Linked DNA regions of Oryzias latipes. The protein of the gene in region 1 interacts with the protein of each later gene in a biochemical or structural test. Links are inferred from orthologs where the notes say so. Each region holds a gene or a part of one and is shown on either strand. Other genes may lie near its edges.

The links.
Region 2: the proteins of sgta (region 1) and ubl4a form a complex in vitro, tested with the Homo sapiens proteins (3 studies listed by BioGRID, with this or other methods). The link is inferred for Oryzias latipes from reciprocal best matches to the Homo sapiens genes SGTA and UBL4A.
Region 3: the proteins of sgta (region 1) and heat shock protein HSP 90-alpha form a complex in vitro, tested with the Homo sapiens proteins (2 studies listed by BioGRID, with this or other methods). The link is inferred for Oryzias latipes from reciprocal best matches to the Homo sapiens genes SGTA and HSP90AA1.
Region 4: the proteins of sgta (region 1) and bag6 form a complex in vitro, tested with the Homo sapiens proteins (4 studies listed by BioGRID, with this or other methods). The link is inferred for Oryzias latipes from reciprocal best matches to the Homo sapiens genes SGTA and BAG6.

What each region holds. Positions count from the first base shown.
Region 1 is NC_019862.2:5,204,953-5,208,463, reverse strand, and holds part of sgta (small glutamine-rich tetratricopeptide repeat-containing protein alpha), read right to left. Parts: intron 3,274-3,511; coding exon 3,170-3,273; intron 1,697-3,169; coding exon 1,606-1,696; intron 458-1,605; coding exon 358-457; intron 258-357; coding exon 153-257; intron 1-152. UniProt on the Homo sapiens protein: Co-chaperone that binds misfolded and hydrophobic patches-containing client proteins in the cytosol. Mediates their targeting to the endoplasmic reticulum but also regulates their sorting to the proteasome when targeting fails.
Region 2 is NC_019867.2:16,994,919-16,999,228, reverse strand, and holds ubl4a (ubiquitin-like protein 4A), read right to left. Parts: upstream 2,802-4,310; 5' UTR 2,654-2,801; coding exon 2,606-2,653; intron 1,416-2,605; coding exon 1,310-1,415; intron 1,222-1,309; coding exon 1,016-1,221; intron 820-1,015; coding exon 712-819; 3' UTR 228-711; downstream 1-227. Other genes in the region: cGMP-dependent protein kinase 1-like, read left to right, coding at 3,905-4,091, 4,164-4,281. UniProt on the Homo sapiens protein: As part of a cytosolic protein quality control complex, the BAG6/BAT3 complex, maintains misfolded and hydrophobic patches-containing proteins in a soluble state and participates in their proper delivery to the endoplasmic reticulum or alternatively can promote their sorting to the proteasome where they undergo degradation.
Region 3 is NC_019882.2:17,294,733-17,298,760, reverse strand, and holds the start of heat shock protein HSP 90-alpha, read right to left. Parts: upstream 2,802-4,028; 5' UTR 2,642-2,801; intron 1,779-2,641; coding exon 1,629-1,778; intron 1,343-1,628; coding exon 976-1,342; intron 893-975; coding exon 759-892; intron 676-758; coding exon 352-675; intron 270-351; coding exon 104-269; intron 15-103; coding exon 1-14. Other genes in the region: heat shock protein HSP 90-alpha 1, read right to left, coding at 3,374-3,483, 3,577-3,910, 3,998-4,028. UniProt on the Homo sapiens protein: Molecular chaperone that promotes the maturation, structural maintenance and proper regulation of specific target proteins involved for instance in cell cycle control and signal transduction.
Region 4 is NC_019874.2:28,119,820-28,124,130, reverse strand, and holds the start of bag6 (large proline-rich protein BAG6), read right to left. Parts: upstream 2,802-4,311; 5' UTR 2,677-2,801; intron 1,919-2,676; exon of another isoform or gene 1,917-1,918; 5' UTR 1,910-1,916; coding exon 1,829-1,909; intron 1,744-1,828; coding exon 1,626-1,743; intron 1,386-1,625; coding exon 1,171-1,385; intron 20-1,170; coding exon 1-19. Other genes in the region: glrx3 (glutaredoxin-3), read left to right, coding at 2,853-3,833. UniProt on the Homo sapiens protein: ATP-independent molecular chaperone preventing the aggregation of misfolded and hydrophobic patches-containing proteins.

The DNA.
Region 1 (3,511 bases):
CTCGGTACAGAAGATTGATTGACAATCCTAGCACTGTTTAAAAACAAACATGTTAACTTGCTCTGAAAAGAATCGGAGAAACCGCTGGTGAACCGCCATACAGCGAGGGAACACTGTAGTTGACTAAAATATTGATGGGTCTGCAGTCTCACCCCATCCGCCCATAAGCTTTGCTGTAGTTGGGGTCGATGCCGATGGCCTGCTCACAGTCCTGCACGGCGCCGGCATAGTTCCCCAGTTTGCTGAACGCTGCCGCCCTGCAGGGAGAAACAACCTCCTTCAGGTCTGGACGGGGTTCTTCGTGAGCCTAGTGAACTTCTTTCATTCTAGTGTTGGTGGGGATCCGGCCTCACTCACCTGTTGCAGTAGTAGACGGCGTTCTGGGGGTTCAGGGCGATGGCCTTCGAGTAAAACTCCACGGCGGCGGCAAAGTTCTCCACCTTCATTTGGTCATTTCCTGCAGGAGATTGAACGTTATGACGTCTGGAGCAGTCCTGCATTGGGATGAGCTCACCATTCGTGTTAGAAGCAGCAGAAAAGGATGGAAATGAGCAGACGGGATTCTGCTGATCTTCCTGAGACAATCAGGTGGACGGTTTCTGAACTTCGCTTTAATGTCAGAGCAGAAAGACGCGGGTCTCAAACCATGATCGGAAACTTTTACAAGAACAAGCAATTCATGAAACCATTTTCTATATAAAGACATTAAAATGATTGTTCATTCATTTTCTATTCGGTTTTGTCCCTTTCGGGGTCACGGGCTGCTGGAGCCTATCCCGGCCCCTTGCGGGCGAAAGCAGGGGGCACCCTGAACAGGTCAACATTTGTTGCAGGGCCACAATCACACACACATGCACTCTCACATTCACACCCAAGGACAATCTAGAGCAGAGGTGGGCACTGAGGGCCGCATTCCTGCATGTTTTCCAGCATACCCTGCTTTGGCTGGACACACCTGAACCATGTAATCAGCCATGAGTAGGGCAAGACTATCTGGAAATCATGCAGACACACCGGCCCTCGAGGCCTGGAATTGCCCACCCCTGATCTAGAGTAACCAATGAACCTATGAAGCACGTTTCTGGACGTTGGGAGGAAGCCGCAGTCCCCGGAGAAAACCCACGCATCCACAGGGAGAACATGCAAACTCTACACAGAAAGGCCCCTCATGGATGTTCTGTCTCTGGTCCCCCAGCCGGGACTTGAACCAGGGACCTTCTTGCTGTAAGGGAAGGTGCAGCCTGATCAAGATAATATTTACATTAAATATTGATACTTAAAAGTCCTGTTCATCTCACTAAATCTGTCCGTCCATGTGAAACGTTTAGACAGTACTGTGTTTGCTGGTCTGATCATCTGTTAAGTGGTTGAATTCTTTTTTTTTTCTTAGTTTATTCTGTTCTATGGATGCCTGAGTCCAGCTTTTAAATGTATGTTTGTGCATTTTTCAATCTTTTTGTGCTCCTTCTTTGTTGGCTGTAGTTCAGGAACTTGAGCTAAAACACTGAGGTTTCTGAAGGTTGACTGGGCTGCAGCTGATCAGCTGATCAGCTGTTCACATCTATGCAGTCTGAGCCCAAATGACGGGAGGATCTCTAAACTCACCGTCACTTTTCAGCCGCTCGGCCTCCGCCCTCTGCTCCTCCGTCGGGGAGCTGGTCCTGGAATTGTTGTTTACCTGGGACTGAGCCGGAAACTGTCAGAGGAAGCAGACACCACGTCCCGTCAGACAACATGTCACTGTGGAGATTTCAGCAGTCCAAACTTTCTGAAGCACAGCAGTGATTCCGACGCTCAGTCACCAACAAAGATCCTTTGGGCTCAGAACTGGGAGTGTTCAAGAAGGTTACGGAACAAATTATTAATATCCAGGATACACGCAAGAATGAGGACAGAAAGAACATTTTTAGATTAGGGATCAGCAATAAACTGCTACCGGCTGGTATTCACACCAAAAGCTGATCATCTGAAAGTCTCAGCGGAAACAAATAGCAGAGACTATAGAAAACAACTCATTCTTTAATGCAGAAGCTCGGGACAGAAATGTGTGGTTTGCCTTCAAAGACCCACACTGATAAAAAAAATAAAAATGTTTTTGGTGATTTCAAAATGTTCGTGTAGCATGTTTCTGAGGATAATCAAGAAAATTAGGCTTCAAATTGCATTTCCTATTCAAATCCTTGTGAATCAGGAGCAGACAAATAAAAAAAAGCCATTTGAAAAAGAGATGTTTTGTGGTGTAGATAATACTCTGAGCGGGCCACAAGCTCCCTGCGCCGCTCCACTTAGAGACAAATGGATCCACGTCCGTCTTTGTTTTCCTCGTCTAAGCTGGAGTCTGGATCAAAAGCTGGATAGCTCCAATATTGCTCGCCATTTATGTTGCACCGCTACTGTTAAGTTGGGGGAGTGAGGGGCTGTAAGCTAGTGGGAGAGAGTGTAAACAAAGCGCCACTCTCTCTGCAGCAACGGACCAACCCACAGCTTAAGTCCTGCTGCTCTGCAGAAACTATGTCCTAGAAAACGACAGGTTTTTCTGATTTGGGTTAAAACCAAATAGAGATAAATAAAGATAACCAGAGTGGGACTTTTAGAAACTGGGCATCTTATTTGGCTGGGTAGCTCGGTTGGTAAGGTGAACAACTGGCATGCAGGAAACCAGTTCGATTCCTGGGGGGGGGGGAATGAACAATTATGTCAAGCAATGTTAATGGGGCAAATGTTAATTGTGAGCAATTAACATCACCCAGTGAGGGCCCTTGGACCAGCTCAGTGGCCTTGTGGTTAGAGTGTCAGCCCTGTAACTGAACGTTCATGAGTTCAAACCCAGGCTCACCAATGCCTCCCTGCGTGACACTCAGCATTAAGGGGTTGGATTGGGGAGTTAAACCACCATTTGACCCATCCCCTGTGTCTGCTACTCACCGCCCCCACAGGGGATGGGTCAAATGTGGAGAACAAACGTCCCCATTGTGGGATAAATAGTCAACTTTTATTTATTTGGTTTTTTAATTCTGGGATTTAATAGAAATAACTTTCTGGTCACAGAAAAGCAACAGGAGCAATTACACATAGAAAGCACCATATGAAATATGTGCCCTGACTTAAAAACAAGTTCTGGATATGAACCAAAGTCCAGTATGAAGTGTCAGCAATAAAGACCGAGTACCTGTGCCGTGGCGCTGGCGAAGATCTCTGGTAACGTCACGGGCACGGCGAGGCTCTGGTCATCCGTGGAAACGTCAAACGCCGTCTCCAAACACTGAACGGCAACTGCAGAGGGACCCAAAGCCATGAGAAGGCAGCTCACACAGAGACATTGAACTCTGATCAAACCAAAGACACTTTAGTTCAAAACGCCACAGAAAACCTTAGCAGAGTAACCATCACAGCCCAGAGGATGCTGGGTAAAAAGATCAAGCAGAAGAATCACAGCCGAGGCTGGAGGAGGCCGGTCCACAGACCAAAAGCCTTCTCTGCATTACAACTCACTTCACACAATAAAGCTTAA
Region 2 (4,310 bases), on another chromosome or scaffold:
GGGCGGAGCGTTGGTGGCAACCCACCTGATTGGTCAAAAAACATAGATCACGTGTCTTGCTATTGCTTCATTGGCTCCCTTAATTGTTCTCGCCCAGCGGTAAAATAAAATGTCCCGCCTTGCGACATTCTCTTCAGTCTTCCTTCTCCTTGTTTCCAAACCGGCAATATTTACACAAAACACAACTATTTCTCACAATACAACGTAAAAAAAACAAAAAAACGTAGTAATTTCTTGATCTTTTATTGTCGTCATATATAAACAATATTTACAAATCGCACAATGGCCATCTGAACAATAAAAGATGTGTGTATTCTTTTATCCCACGTTTAAATGAAAAAAATAAAATAAAAACAGGCATCATTCAACGCTGACATGAATAATAAATAGTCTCAAGTGGAAGTTAGTGTTGCCTGGAATTGCAGCAGCCAGAAATCAAGCAACATTAGCACGAAACAATGTTTTTGTGTTTTGATTTTACACAAAAAAAACTAGTCTTTCAACAAATGGTGTCAATATTAAAAATAGAAGAGAAAACACACATGAGAAAGCCCTATTGCTGAGATAAACATTAGTCACTGACACAAGTCAGCAATATCAATAATCACTGATTAGGCACACATTGTATTCTCAATGGCCTCACATTTATTTTCCCAAACATGTAGTTTCTCCTAAATCTATTCATACAAAGTAGATTTAGGTTTTCCAATGCTAGTCCATGTAGGAGGTGTCCATGCTCTCGCTGTCAGGGTGAAGCAATCGCACTGCTAGTCGTTCAATGTCATCCAGGCTGAGCTGTCGAAGTGAACGTTCATAGTCCTAAAAACAAACAAAAACAAAGTTTAGTAATAACAAAGAGGAGCTTAACTGTCAAGCTCACAACATGACAAATTATTTTAAATAGTTAAAATAGACATTCGTTTTGTAATATAATTTATATAGTGGGTTTGAAAGGCAGTAACAGAACTTTAACCATTACAACTTTTGGGAAACCATGAATAAAAACTTATCTTACCTTTATAAGCTGTTCATGAACTTTTGCTGCATCTGCTGGACTGAAGTGTCTAGCAAGTATAGTGGACACAGTCTGCCACAGTCCTCCCATGTTCCTGCTGCTGCAGCCAGTCACTGCTGAGGCTGCAGATCTTTCTCCTGCAGGACGGATTACTAGGTTCAATTTAGCCTCTGGTCCAATGGAATAATCACTAAGTCTGTGTTCATCTGAAAGAAAAAAGGGCATACAGAAAGATAAATTATGAACCTGACAAAAGTATAAAGGAAAGAAAAAAAAGTAGTAGGCAAATTTTACCTGCCAGTGCCTTTCCTTTGTAAAGCAGCCGCTGCTGGTTTGCTGGTATGTTGAGTTGCTCAGAAACAAGTTCCTTCACTGTGGAAACCTTTTCATCTTCTGTCACCTGTGGGATAAAAACAAATTCTTAAACTGTAATTTAAACAAGAACAATAGAGTCAACTGGTATAGAAAGACTGCGGGGAAAACAAGTTCTAAGGATGCAATAATAAAAAAAATGAATACATAAAAACAGTATTAAACGGGCAAAATAAATAATTCATTTTATGTAATAAAGTAACAAAGTACCTATTGTGAAAACGTTTTATCAGCTCAAGACAAAAACATTTGTTACAATAATTCAAAACAATTACAAATATATTGTTTATTCAAAGCCTTCGTATTTTTTTCGAAATGTGCCGAAAACTCACTGTCTTGTCTGGGATAAAATTCTCGGCTTAAAATCTAATTCAATAGATGTCTTAAATGGCTTTGTATGACCAATTTTAAGTGCACATGTTTGACTTAATCTGAAGAACAGCCATATATAATGTATAATGTGTAATTACCGCTACACTTTAAAGTTGGCATTAAAGAAAAAAAACATGATCATAAGTACTACGGTACTCAAAATAAGAACAACACAAAACCAAAAAAATGTTTTGGTTAAAAAAAATTATAAATAGAATATATAACTACATAATTAAAAAAGTTAATGAAGTGCTGTGGAGTTTTAAAATGATTACTTTATGTAAATGAAAAATATATACAATTCTAAATTTGTGATAAGAGAAGCAGGTTCATAATGCTGCTTTCATGCAACTGTATGTCTTAACTGATTTGACACAAAGGCACATCCAGGAGCAGCAAATATAACTGCTGAACTGTAAAATAATACCAACACCGTTTTTTGTTTCAACGCGCTGACCAAACAAAGTCCTCTAATACACCGCGGTTCCTTACTCACTTCTCTTTACTGCATTAGCACCAAGTAAGGAGTAACAACAACTTCCACTCAGCTGCTGGGCGTGACCTCAGCGAGAATGATTCAGACAGAAAGAGTTCTTCGTCTTGCATTTCTAAATTAGCTAACATGCTAGCTGCGGTAAAGCTGCTTTAGAACTATAAACGGGTGTGTATATGTACAACCGCATCTTTAGTACTGGTTAGTGTTAGAGTTACAGTCACTAATAAATTAAATTTATGTTCACTTTATTCAAAGCACTTTAAAAAACTTATGATGCTGAGCGGCTAACAGATATACCCGGCTAGCTGATTGTGCAAATTAGCATTATGGAGTTCGATTTTTTAACTAACCTGAACACTGCACTCCTTCCCTTGAAGTGGCTTTACTGTAAGAATCATTTTTCAACACTCTCACTAAAAACAAAAACACACAATAATGTGATTAAAGTCCAGCCAAAAGGGTTACTAAGTTTGCTCGTTATAGCCACACTGGCTGTGGTCCCGTCAGCGTCCCATCTTCTTCTCCTGTTTCCTCTCAACGATGCCACTGCCTCTGTTGCTGACATCAAGTAATGCTGCTGCCGCCTACTGGCATGAAGGATGTACCGCAGCTAAGAAGAAATGACACCACGATTAAAGTTCAATTAAAAGTTTATCGGAACTAAAGTGGTTAGGCGATGATATCCAAATTGATCTCCTAAGCAGGATACTGTGCCAATACACCTGTACACACATGGGTGTTTTTTTTCCTTTGACAGACAAAAAACATGGTGATAAACTTTTGTCATTACATTACATTTGAATAGTAACGTGTTTGTCAATTTGAAAAGAAAATTGGATCCGACTCACCTGTAGATTACTGTTACAATTTACCCATAATTACCTGACCACCTTCTATTGCTTATGTTCAATACACAAAAAGATTTTCACAAAAAATGCGTTTACAGCATTGACATTTTTTTAATGTCCAAAGTCGGGCAGATGCTCGTTCTTTTTTCTTTCCGAAAGCAAAATTTAGTGTCAAATTTTCCCATTAGAACTACTTTCCTCTGACCCAGTTCGGATCCAGCCTGTGCATGTGTCATTCTGTTCCCCCTCCTCGTGGTTGGAGGGAGCCCGCGTCACGTGACCGCCTGTCTGCGCTGTGGGCATTCCTCCTGACCAGCATCCTTCACTTGAGGACGCCAGGCGGACTGCTCACCTACACCGGTGAGTAGCATTTGTGTACCATCCATCAATTAGGTGTTGAAAAAACAATGGATCTGTGGCTGAGTGTAATTAAATTTAAGATGATAAAGACAATTTATCTTTGTTATTGTTTTTTTCTCTTTTGACAATTTTTATATAGCCTACATAAAACCTTGCAGCTTCACATAAAACGTACATAATAAAAAAAAGTATAATTTGTTTACTCTGAAAATGTATTCTTTTTAGTGGGATAAACTTATGATGCACTTGACAATGAATTGTTTTTGCCTTTAACCTGGATGGAAATGTGTGCTACAATTGCAAGGCAGCATTTTGACATAGATAGATATGCATAATATTTTTCATATTTAAGTTTGTGAAATAAAAAATTACAATTTCTTTTTTATTCTCATAGCAACGAGCTGTTTATCTTTGTGCTTTCCTGGCTGATGCCTGCAGATCATGGGTACACTGAGGGACCTCCAGTTTGCTCTGCAACTAAAAATCGAGGAGCTCCGCCAGAGAGACACACTCATAGATGAGTTGGAGCTTGAACTGGATACAAAGGATGAACTCATTCGAAGGCTACAGGAAGAACTGGACCGTTACAGGACCACTGTTTGCCTCTCAGGACCCTCACCCAGTGCAGGTAAAGAGTAGGTCAATCATTTAAAAGTACAGGTTGTAGACGTGACCTAAAAATCTCAATTATTTTTTATAGCTCCTCAAATTGAGGGCATGGAGCGAGCTAAAAAGCACACAGTCATTTCAGAACCCTTCAGCCCGGACCCCGTGACTCTCGCCAGGATTTCACACAAAAGCTGTGACAAAAGTCAACAGTAAGAGCACACTGTGTTCCTCCAACTTC
Region 3 (4,028 bases), on another chromosome or scaffold:
ACCCCTGATGAAATCTGACAAATGAAAAGTAGAATTCAGTTTAGTCATTTTGCTCCCCGCTCACCTCAGATTAGAATAGAATCCAGCAGGTCCGGACACTTACTGAGATACTCAGGGATGAGCTCATCACAGTTGTCCATGATGAAGACTCTACGCACGTAAAGCTTGATGTTGTTCTTCTTCTTTTTGTTCTCAAACAGGTCAAAGGGGGCACGGCGGGGCACGAAGAGGAGGGCACGGAACTCCAGCTGCCCTTCCACTGAAAAATGCTACAGAGGAAGGAAAGGGGGGGTTCAGAAAATGTTTCCCTTGAGACCAGATTTCCCCTCAACTTCCATCTGAATCACCAACCTTGACAGCCAGGTGATCCTCCCAGTCGTTGGTGAGACTCTTGTAGAACTCCCCGTACTCCTCGTTGGTGATGTCGTCTGGGTTGCGGGTCCACAGTGGTTTCGTTTTGTTCAGCTCCTCCTGGTCGATGTACTTCTCCTTGATCTTCTTCTTTTTTTTCTTTTTGTCTGAGGACTTGTCATGGTCATCCTCTTCATCTGACCCCACATCCTCAATCTCAGGTTTGTCCTCATCCTTCTCTTCCTCGTTCTTCTCCTTGTCTTTCTCCTTCTCCTCTTCCTCAGCCTCGTCGTCACTCACCTCCTTGTCCCGCTCCTTCTCCACCTGCAACCACAGAAGGAACAGTTTCAGCTCACTCGGATCAGAATACATCCCCTCGAAGTAAAATACAGGGTTCTGATACGTACAAAGAGTGTGATGGGGTAGCCGATAAACTGAGAGTGTTTCTTCACAATCTCCTTGATCCTCCTCTCCTCCAGGTATTCTGACTGATCTTCTTTCAGGTGGAGGATCACTTTGGTTCCTCGGCCCAAAGGCTCAGCTAGACATTGAAACCAAGAGTCAGTCAGCACACGAGAACCACAAACACCAGAAGCTGACATTCAAAAGCCTCACATTACTTACAATTGTCCAGTTTCACTGTGAAGGAGCCTCCAGCAGAGGATTCCCAAGCGTACTGCTCGTCGTCGTTGTGTTTGGTGATGACCGTCACCTTCTCAGCCACCAAATATGCAGAGTAGAAGCCCACGCCGAACTGCCCGATCATGGAGATGTCGGCTCCGGCTTGTAAAGCCTCCATAAATGCTTTAGTTCCAGATTTGGCGATGGTTCCCAGGTTGTTGATCAGGTCCGCTTTGGTCATTCCGATTCCCGTGTCCATCAAGGTCAGCGTCCGCTCCTGTTTGTTTGGCGTGATTTCGATTTTGAGTTCCTTTCCCGAGTCGAGCTTGGCGGGGTCAGTCAGGCTCTCGTAACGGATTTTGTCCAAAGCCTGTCGGAACAACGGATCCATGAACTTCCTTTTAGACGACCTGCTCACTTTTCATTTAGTACAACTGCAGCCAAAATGCAATTCTATGGGATTTAAATGGAATTTAAATTCATAAAAATAAAAAGCAGATAAAAAAAAAAAAAAAAATTCAATCAAAAAGAGACAAAGCCCAATGAGCACTGCCTAAGAAGAAACTGTCCAAGAATAATCAGTGAATTTAATAAATTAGCATTAGATTCAGTGCAGATGAAATATAGAAAAAAATCTTAGGCTTGTGTAAACTTACATCTGAGGAGTTAGAGATAAGCTCTCTGAGGAAGATCTCCTTGTTGGAATAGAAGGTGTTGATGATCAAGGACATAAGCTGAGCGATCTCAGCCTGGAATGCGAAGGTCTCAGTCTCCTCCTCCATTGGTTGGTCATGCATCTCAGGCATCTGAGTAACAAGAAAATATATCCTTTAGCTTAAGTTAACTAAAAATTAACCTTTAGTTATTGTTCCAAACACAAACAGCTTTATAGTCAAGATAGTGGGTTTAATAGAATGAGGGACACAAAAAATGAGTAATCTGGTAAAGTAGAGTCTATTATTTTGAAAAAAAAAATAATAATTCTAATCCTTAAAATTCAGATATACAATCCCCTTTTATAATCCTCCTTTAAAATTGGTTTTCAGTTCACCAAGTCCGAAACTAAAAATCTCAAAAATATAAAAAAAATTGTTTACATTTTAAATATTTAATTAAATTTGAAAAATCTTTTGAACAAGTCTCCAATGGCCTTTTTCTCCATCTCTTCCATTTGCGCAGCAGTGTCGCCCTCTGCTGGTTACCCAGCGTAAGGCGAGTTTCTAGAAGGTACCAGGAGGAGAGCAGAGCACGCGCAGCTTCACGAGGAGCAGAAAGTCGCTGCTCTCATCAACCGTTTTCAGAGTTCGTATGAATGAGATGTCCGCACAAAAAAATAAAATAAAATACCGGGACCAGCTCGCCCGGCTAAAACAACGGCTTAAAACTATAACAACAACAATTAAATAACCCGTAAGCGCATAATGTTATACTGCTGACACATGCAGGGCAGCAGCATCTCATCATTACCACTCGACTGGACAAAAAAAGTGGTTCCTTTATTAACCCTTAGAGAAAAATTAAACATTTGAGTAAATAGTTTGTGGCTAAATGCTTAAAAAGTAATTCACCCTAATAATCAACGAAGTGTGCAAAGTTAACAGATTTAAGAACCTTATTTTAGTCTCTAATCACGACGAGTCCTGCAGCTCATTGTGAGTGCATCATTTACCTTGGTCCTCCGTGGGAGTGGAATGCTCCGCTATTGATCGCTGTTTCTCGCTTTCGTCGCTCCACTGCTTCAAAATCTGTCCCGCCGTTCGTCTCTCCGCTATTTGTACTCTTTCAGAGGCTTCGAGAAAAAACCCTGACGGGGGCTTCCAGAAGCGTCTGGAATCCTCCCGGCTGCGGCTTGGTGGTGCTCGCTGATAGGCTGAGCTACACGTCTGTCAACGCCCGGTCCCCGCCCATTTCACCATATTTGGTGTTGGTAGGTGGAGAATGTGGAGAGACTATACCAAGCGAGGAACACGTGTAGGAGTGGGATCTAGAAAGAACCACGCTGTGTGCATTGAAAATTCCAGAACTAGAAAGAAAAACCTTTTCAAGTTACGAACTTTCTTAATTAAAATGTGCTTCACATTTGCAGAATTGGTATTTGACATTTTTGGCTTTGAATATTTTAAAGTTTAGCATGCATTAGGTTAAAAAAGACAAAAGGCTCTAACCATTATATTTTATTAAAAATTTTAAAGTTTTACATACAAAATGTAAAAGTTACAAAAGAAACACAAGTGAAAGCTGAGAAACTTTTTATATAGCGAATTGAGTTTTTAAATGTTTCTATATACAGTGTTTCCATTTTGGCAAAAGTCAATTAATGTCTGTATTTGTTTTGTCCAGGCAATACAACACATGTTACAAAAATAAAATAAAAAACCTTTGAAAGGCCTGAAAAAAACATTTAGTCAACTTCTTCCATTCTTGATGTGTCATCATCTCCCTCCAATACTGGCATATCTTCATCAGTCGGCTGAATGATGTCTTCAACTGCAGAGTCGTCATCATCAATTCCTACAAAAACCAGACAGCATTCTTTAGCAACCAACCAATCTGAACTGTGGGAATTGTAATTGTGTTTGCAGGTATATAGGAAGTAAAACATACCAAGACCCAGTTTGATCATCCTGTAGATGCGGTTAGCATGTGTTTGAGGGTCCTCCAGGGTGAATCCTGAAGACAGCAGGGCGGTCTCAAACAGCAGGATAACCAGATCCTTCACTGCTTTATCATTCTTGTCCACTTCAGCCTTCTCCCGTAGTGTCTCGACGATTGGATGGAGTGGGTTGATCTCCAGATGCTTCTTGGCTGTCATGTATCCCATGGTGGAGTTGTCCCTTAGGGCCTGGGATTTCATGATCCTCTCCATGTTAGCCGTCCAGCCATAGGTGCTGGTGACGATGCAGCATGGGGAGGAGACCAGGCGGTTGGAAACTGTGACCTGTGGAAGGAGAAACAAAGTTTTTAATGATGAAATTCTGGTGATTGATCAAAATTTATGAGGTAAACCCATTTTCCAAGAGCATACCTTTTCAATCTTTTTGTCCAGTATATCTTTC
Region 4 (4,311 bases), on another chromosome or scaffold:
CCATCTGCTGAACAGACATCTAGGAGACACAAGAATCACACAGCTTTAATGTACAGTTAGTGTCTTTATTATATAAGTATTATATACTTTATCATATCATTGAGTAATTTTCGGCTTAAACCACAGTCTTCAAGCAATCACAAAGTGGACTAAGAGTCATAATTGCAATTGTTATTATTTATTATTTTACTTTCTCCCTCTTTGAGACCTAATTAGACCCCTAATATGCATGAAAATCCGCAAAACTGATTCAAAAATTTGTCATAAAAAGTAAACGATTTGTTCTCTTCCAACAAAAAAAACTAAGTAAAATTGGGCCAGTAAAACCTTTTTTTTATATATATATATCCCCTAAGAAAGAGCCATCCAGTAAAAATCATTAAATTTCTTTATGCTCCATCTTCACTGATGTCATGGACCATGGAATGTAGAGGAGCGGGTGGGGTTTTACTGTGGCACCATTTTCAGATGGGGCTGCAGAGTTAGAGGATGAGCATCACGCCTTAATCCTGTTCTGTTGCAGCACAGGCCGAGGAGAAGCTGCTGGGGGCAGCAGACAGACCTGGGGGGCTGTTGATGGGCCCATGGTGCAGGGTGGCAATGGTCATTCAACAGTCGTTGCAGCTTTAAATGTATTTGTTTTTAGGATAATTTAGCAAACCCATCAAGATGACATGAACAGAGTTCATATGCCGGAGTCTCTAAAGTCCATCTTTGTCCATTTTCCCTTTAACATCTCCACACAATATGATCGGACATAGTGGAAAATGCTGAGATGAAAACAATGCAGAGATCACACAGAACAATTCACTTGTGCTCTGCGTGATAAACCGACTACATCTAGATGGTTTTAAAATCTGAAATCAATCCCTGTGGTTTTATTTTCACTTTGAACGAACCCATCTGACTTTCATGTCATTTTGATCCAGAAGACTTGGTCCTTTTAAGAAAAATTTCCTGCAGGTTTGTGATCAAAGGTTGTTAACAAAAGCAGACAGCCTCATGGCAGATTGAAGGCAGCCGTTTAGAAAAGTAATGTTTCAACTTGACTGAACTCAGATCTTCATGCCGAAACACAGAGTTTAGTTGCCCTGAGCAACTGGAATCTCGTCATCTGTTGAGCAGTGCTGCCTTCATCCCTGACAACGCACACCAACAATGCAGACCTACCTGTATCTGCTGGGGGTCCATGATATTGACGGGGAGGTTGAAGGTTCCAAGCATGACATAGCTGTTGGCATTGCGATCGTGTGGAGGCACCTGCGATGCTCCCTGGGAGGATGAAGACTGCCCGCTGTCGGCTGCGGTGGCCCCTGACCCCGAGCCAGGCTGGGAGGGTGGAGGGGGGGCCCGCTCCACAAGGTGAATCACCTTTCCAGCCACATCTACAAGAGTAGCGGAGAATATGGTCAGCTAAAACAGAAGCAGTGGCAAATCAGCAGAAAGAGCAGATGGAACCAAAAACTAATTCAATGACAGAATTTTTACTTAAAAGAAATAGTTTTGAAATGCTCCTTGGTGGTGTGATTGAAAGGAGGCAGAAGGGATGTTCAGATGGAGAGACTCCCTGAAGCAACAAGCTGAAAGGTTAAGAGGAGGAAGATTTAATATATCCTTTGACTAACTGTAGTCTGCCAGCGTCCTTTCATCCTGCAGTACTCTGCCCTGGTAGATGAGCCTCTGTTTGTCCACAGGGATGCCCACTGAAGGAGAAATGTGCTCTTTGAACTCTTTAACTGTCAGCTGCAAAACAATGGATCATTTCAGTCAGATCATAAAAGACAAAAGGAAACTACCCAAATATTTACAGCAGGAACTTTCCATTTACCTGAGCACCGACTGAGTAGGTTCTGCTCTGAGAGTCCAGAGTTTTGACCGTCACTTCTATGTCTGAGGTTTGTTCATCCATAGCGTTCCTGCAATTGTATTACATCTTCAATTACAAATTATTCTGTTTATGTGACTTTTTAAAGTGTTTGTACACTTTTACAAAAATTTTGATAAGCACCAGGTTATTTAACAATCTGTTCAACAAGCATGGTGCGTCCACGGCATGTTTATAAGTTTATGAAGAACAGTGAGCGTAGTTTCCAATTTTTCAGCAATCATCTAGATCACCTCTTCTTTTTAACAAACAGGCAACGTTGAAGTGAATTTATTAACCAGCCTTTAGTCTAGAAAATAAAATCTCTAACTAAGGAATCCGGATAACTACAATCAGCTGAATTATTTAGCTCTAATTTAAAATACATTATTAACTGAGCTATTTCCTAAACAAGAATTTTAATAAACATACAATTAACGTAAAATAGCATCTATATCTTTATGTTAGACTCAGTGGGTTAAATTTGATTTAATGCTTTGTTTTTTTCCCAAAGACGGACTCCCTGTACTAGCGTTAGCCAAAAACAGTTAGCCCGGCTGTATTCGCTAAACAAGGACAGGAGCGATGTAATATTAAACTAAGATTTAGGACAGACAGTATAACAAAAGATAGAAAGTAACATATCGCCACTTGCTCTTCAGCAGGATTACTTTTTTTAGGAACCAAATAAACGCCGACTGGCTAATTAGCCAAACAGATTAGCTAAAGATGCTAACTGATCTGTCGTGTCGCTACTAATGCTTAAGCGCAGAACATTCCGTTTTTTATGCGTCACACCGTCAAACGCTTACCTTTTAAATCATACAATGTTTTTTAACGTATCCAGAGTCCACAGGAGGCTCTTATATTCAGAAAGCCGAGCACTTCTCCGGTGCGTCGCGGCTATGCTACAGCTAACAGCTTTTAGGGCTGAACGGATGTGACGTCAGAAAGCCGCCGGACTGCTGTCGAGGTCAAAGAAGCAAAGATGGCGAATGTGCTAGAGGCGACGAGCCGACAACAGTTCGAGGATTTCCTTGCAAAAGCTGGAAAAAACCTCGCGGTTGTACATTTCCAGGCGGCATGGGCTCCTCAGTGCGGCGACATGAACGAAGTGATGGCCGAGCTGGCCAAGGCACACGCGCACGCGACGTTTGTGAAGCTGGAGGCGGAGGCTGTTCCCGATGTGTCGGAAAAGTATGACATATCCTCCGTCCCCACTTTTATCTTCTTCAAGGGGGGTGAGAAGGTGGATCGTCTGGACGGGGCGCACGCTGCGGAGCTGACTAAGAAGGTCCAGGGCCTGGCGGGTAGCGGGCCCGCCCCAGGAGGAGCCGCGGACGGCGGCGCCGCGGACTTGAACCAGCGGCTGAAGAAGCTGATCAACGCGGCGCCCTGCGTGCTGTTCATGAAGGGCTCCCCGCAGGAGCCCCGCTGCGGCTTCAGCCGCCAGATGGTGGCGCTGCTCAAGGAGCACAGCGTCCAGTTCAGCACCTTTGACATCCTGTCAGACGAAGAGGTCCGTCAGGGCCTGAAGGCGTACTCCAACTGGCCCACCTACCCCCAGCTGTACGTGAACGGAGAGCTGCTGGGGGGGCTGGACATCGTGAAGGAGCTGGCCGAGTCCGGGGAGCTGGAGACCACCTGCCCAAAGGCCGTGACCCTGGAGCACCGCCTGAAGGCCATCATCAACCAGAGCCCCGTCATGCTGTTCATGAAGGGCAACAAGGAGGCGGCGCGCTGTGGCTTCAGCAGGCAGATCCTGGAGGTCCTGAACTCCACGGGGGTGGACTTTGACACCTTTGACATCCTGTCGGACGAAGAGGTCCGTCAGGGCCTGAAGGCGTACTCCAACTGGCCCACCTATCCCCAGCTCTACGTGAAAGGGGAGCTGATCGGGGGCCTGGACATAGTGAAGGAGCTGAAGGAGAGTGGGGAGCTGGAGTCGGTACTGAGGGGGGAGTCGTAGATGGACGGGGAACAGGACATCACTGCACAGGCCTGCACCAGCTGCTGCACCCCTCAGAGGTCCCAGGAGGTCAAAGAAGCTGCTCGTCGGCTTTGATCGTGGGAAACGTTCTTCTTTTTTCACAGACTTTCAGATGACGTGAAGCTGCTGACTCTCCATCCTCATCTTTATGACAAGAACACCACCAGAGAAGCTGAAAATCTACTCATGTTCACTGCAAATTCCAGCCTATAATAAATTTCCCATCAAAATAGAACAAAACGTTTCTATTTGTTTTATTTTTTGCCTGTAAAGAGGTGAACTGGCTGTAGTAAACTGAGTTTACTTTGAAATGAGAAAAAAGTTTGAACAGAGCTCATGCACTAAAGCTCACACTCAATAAAATTGTTAAAAGCAGCAGCATGTCACGTTTGTAATACATGTGGTATAGTAAGCACGTGTGACAGGTTTTCTGGCGCCACCTTGTGGGCGTAAATGT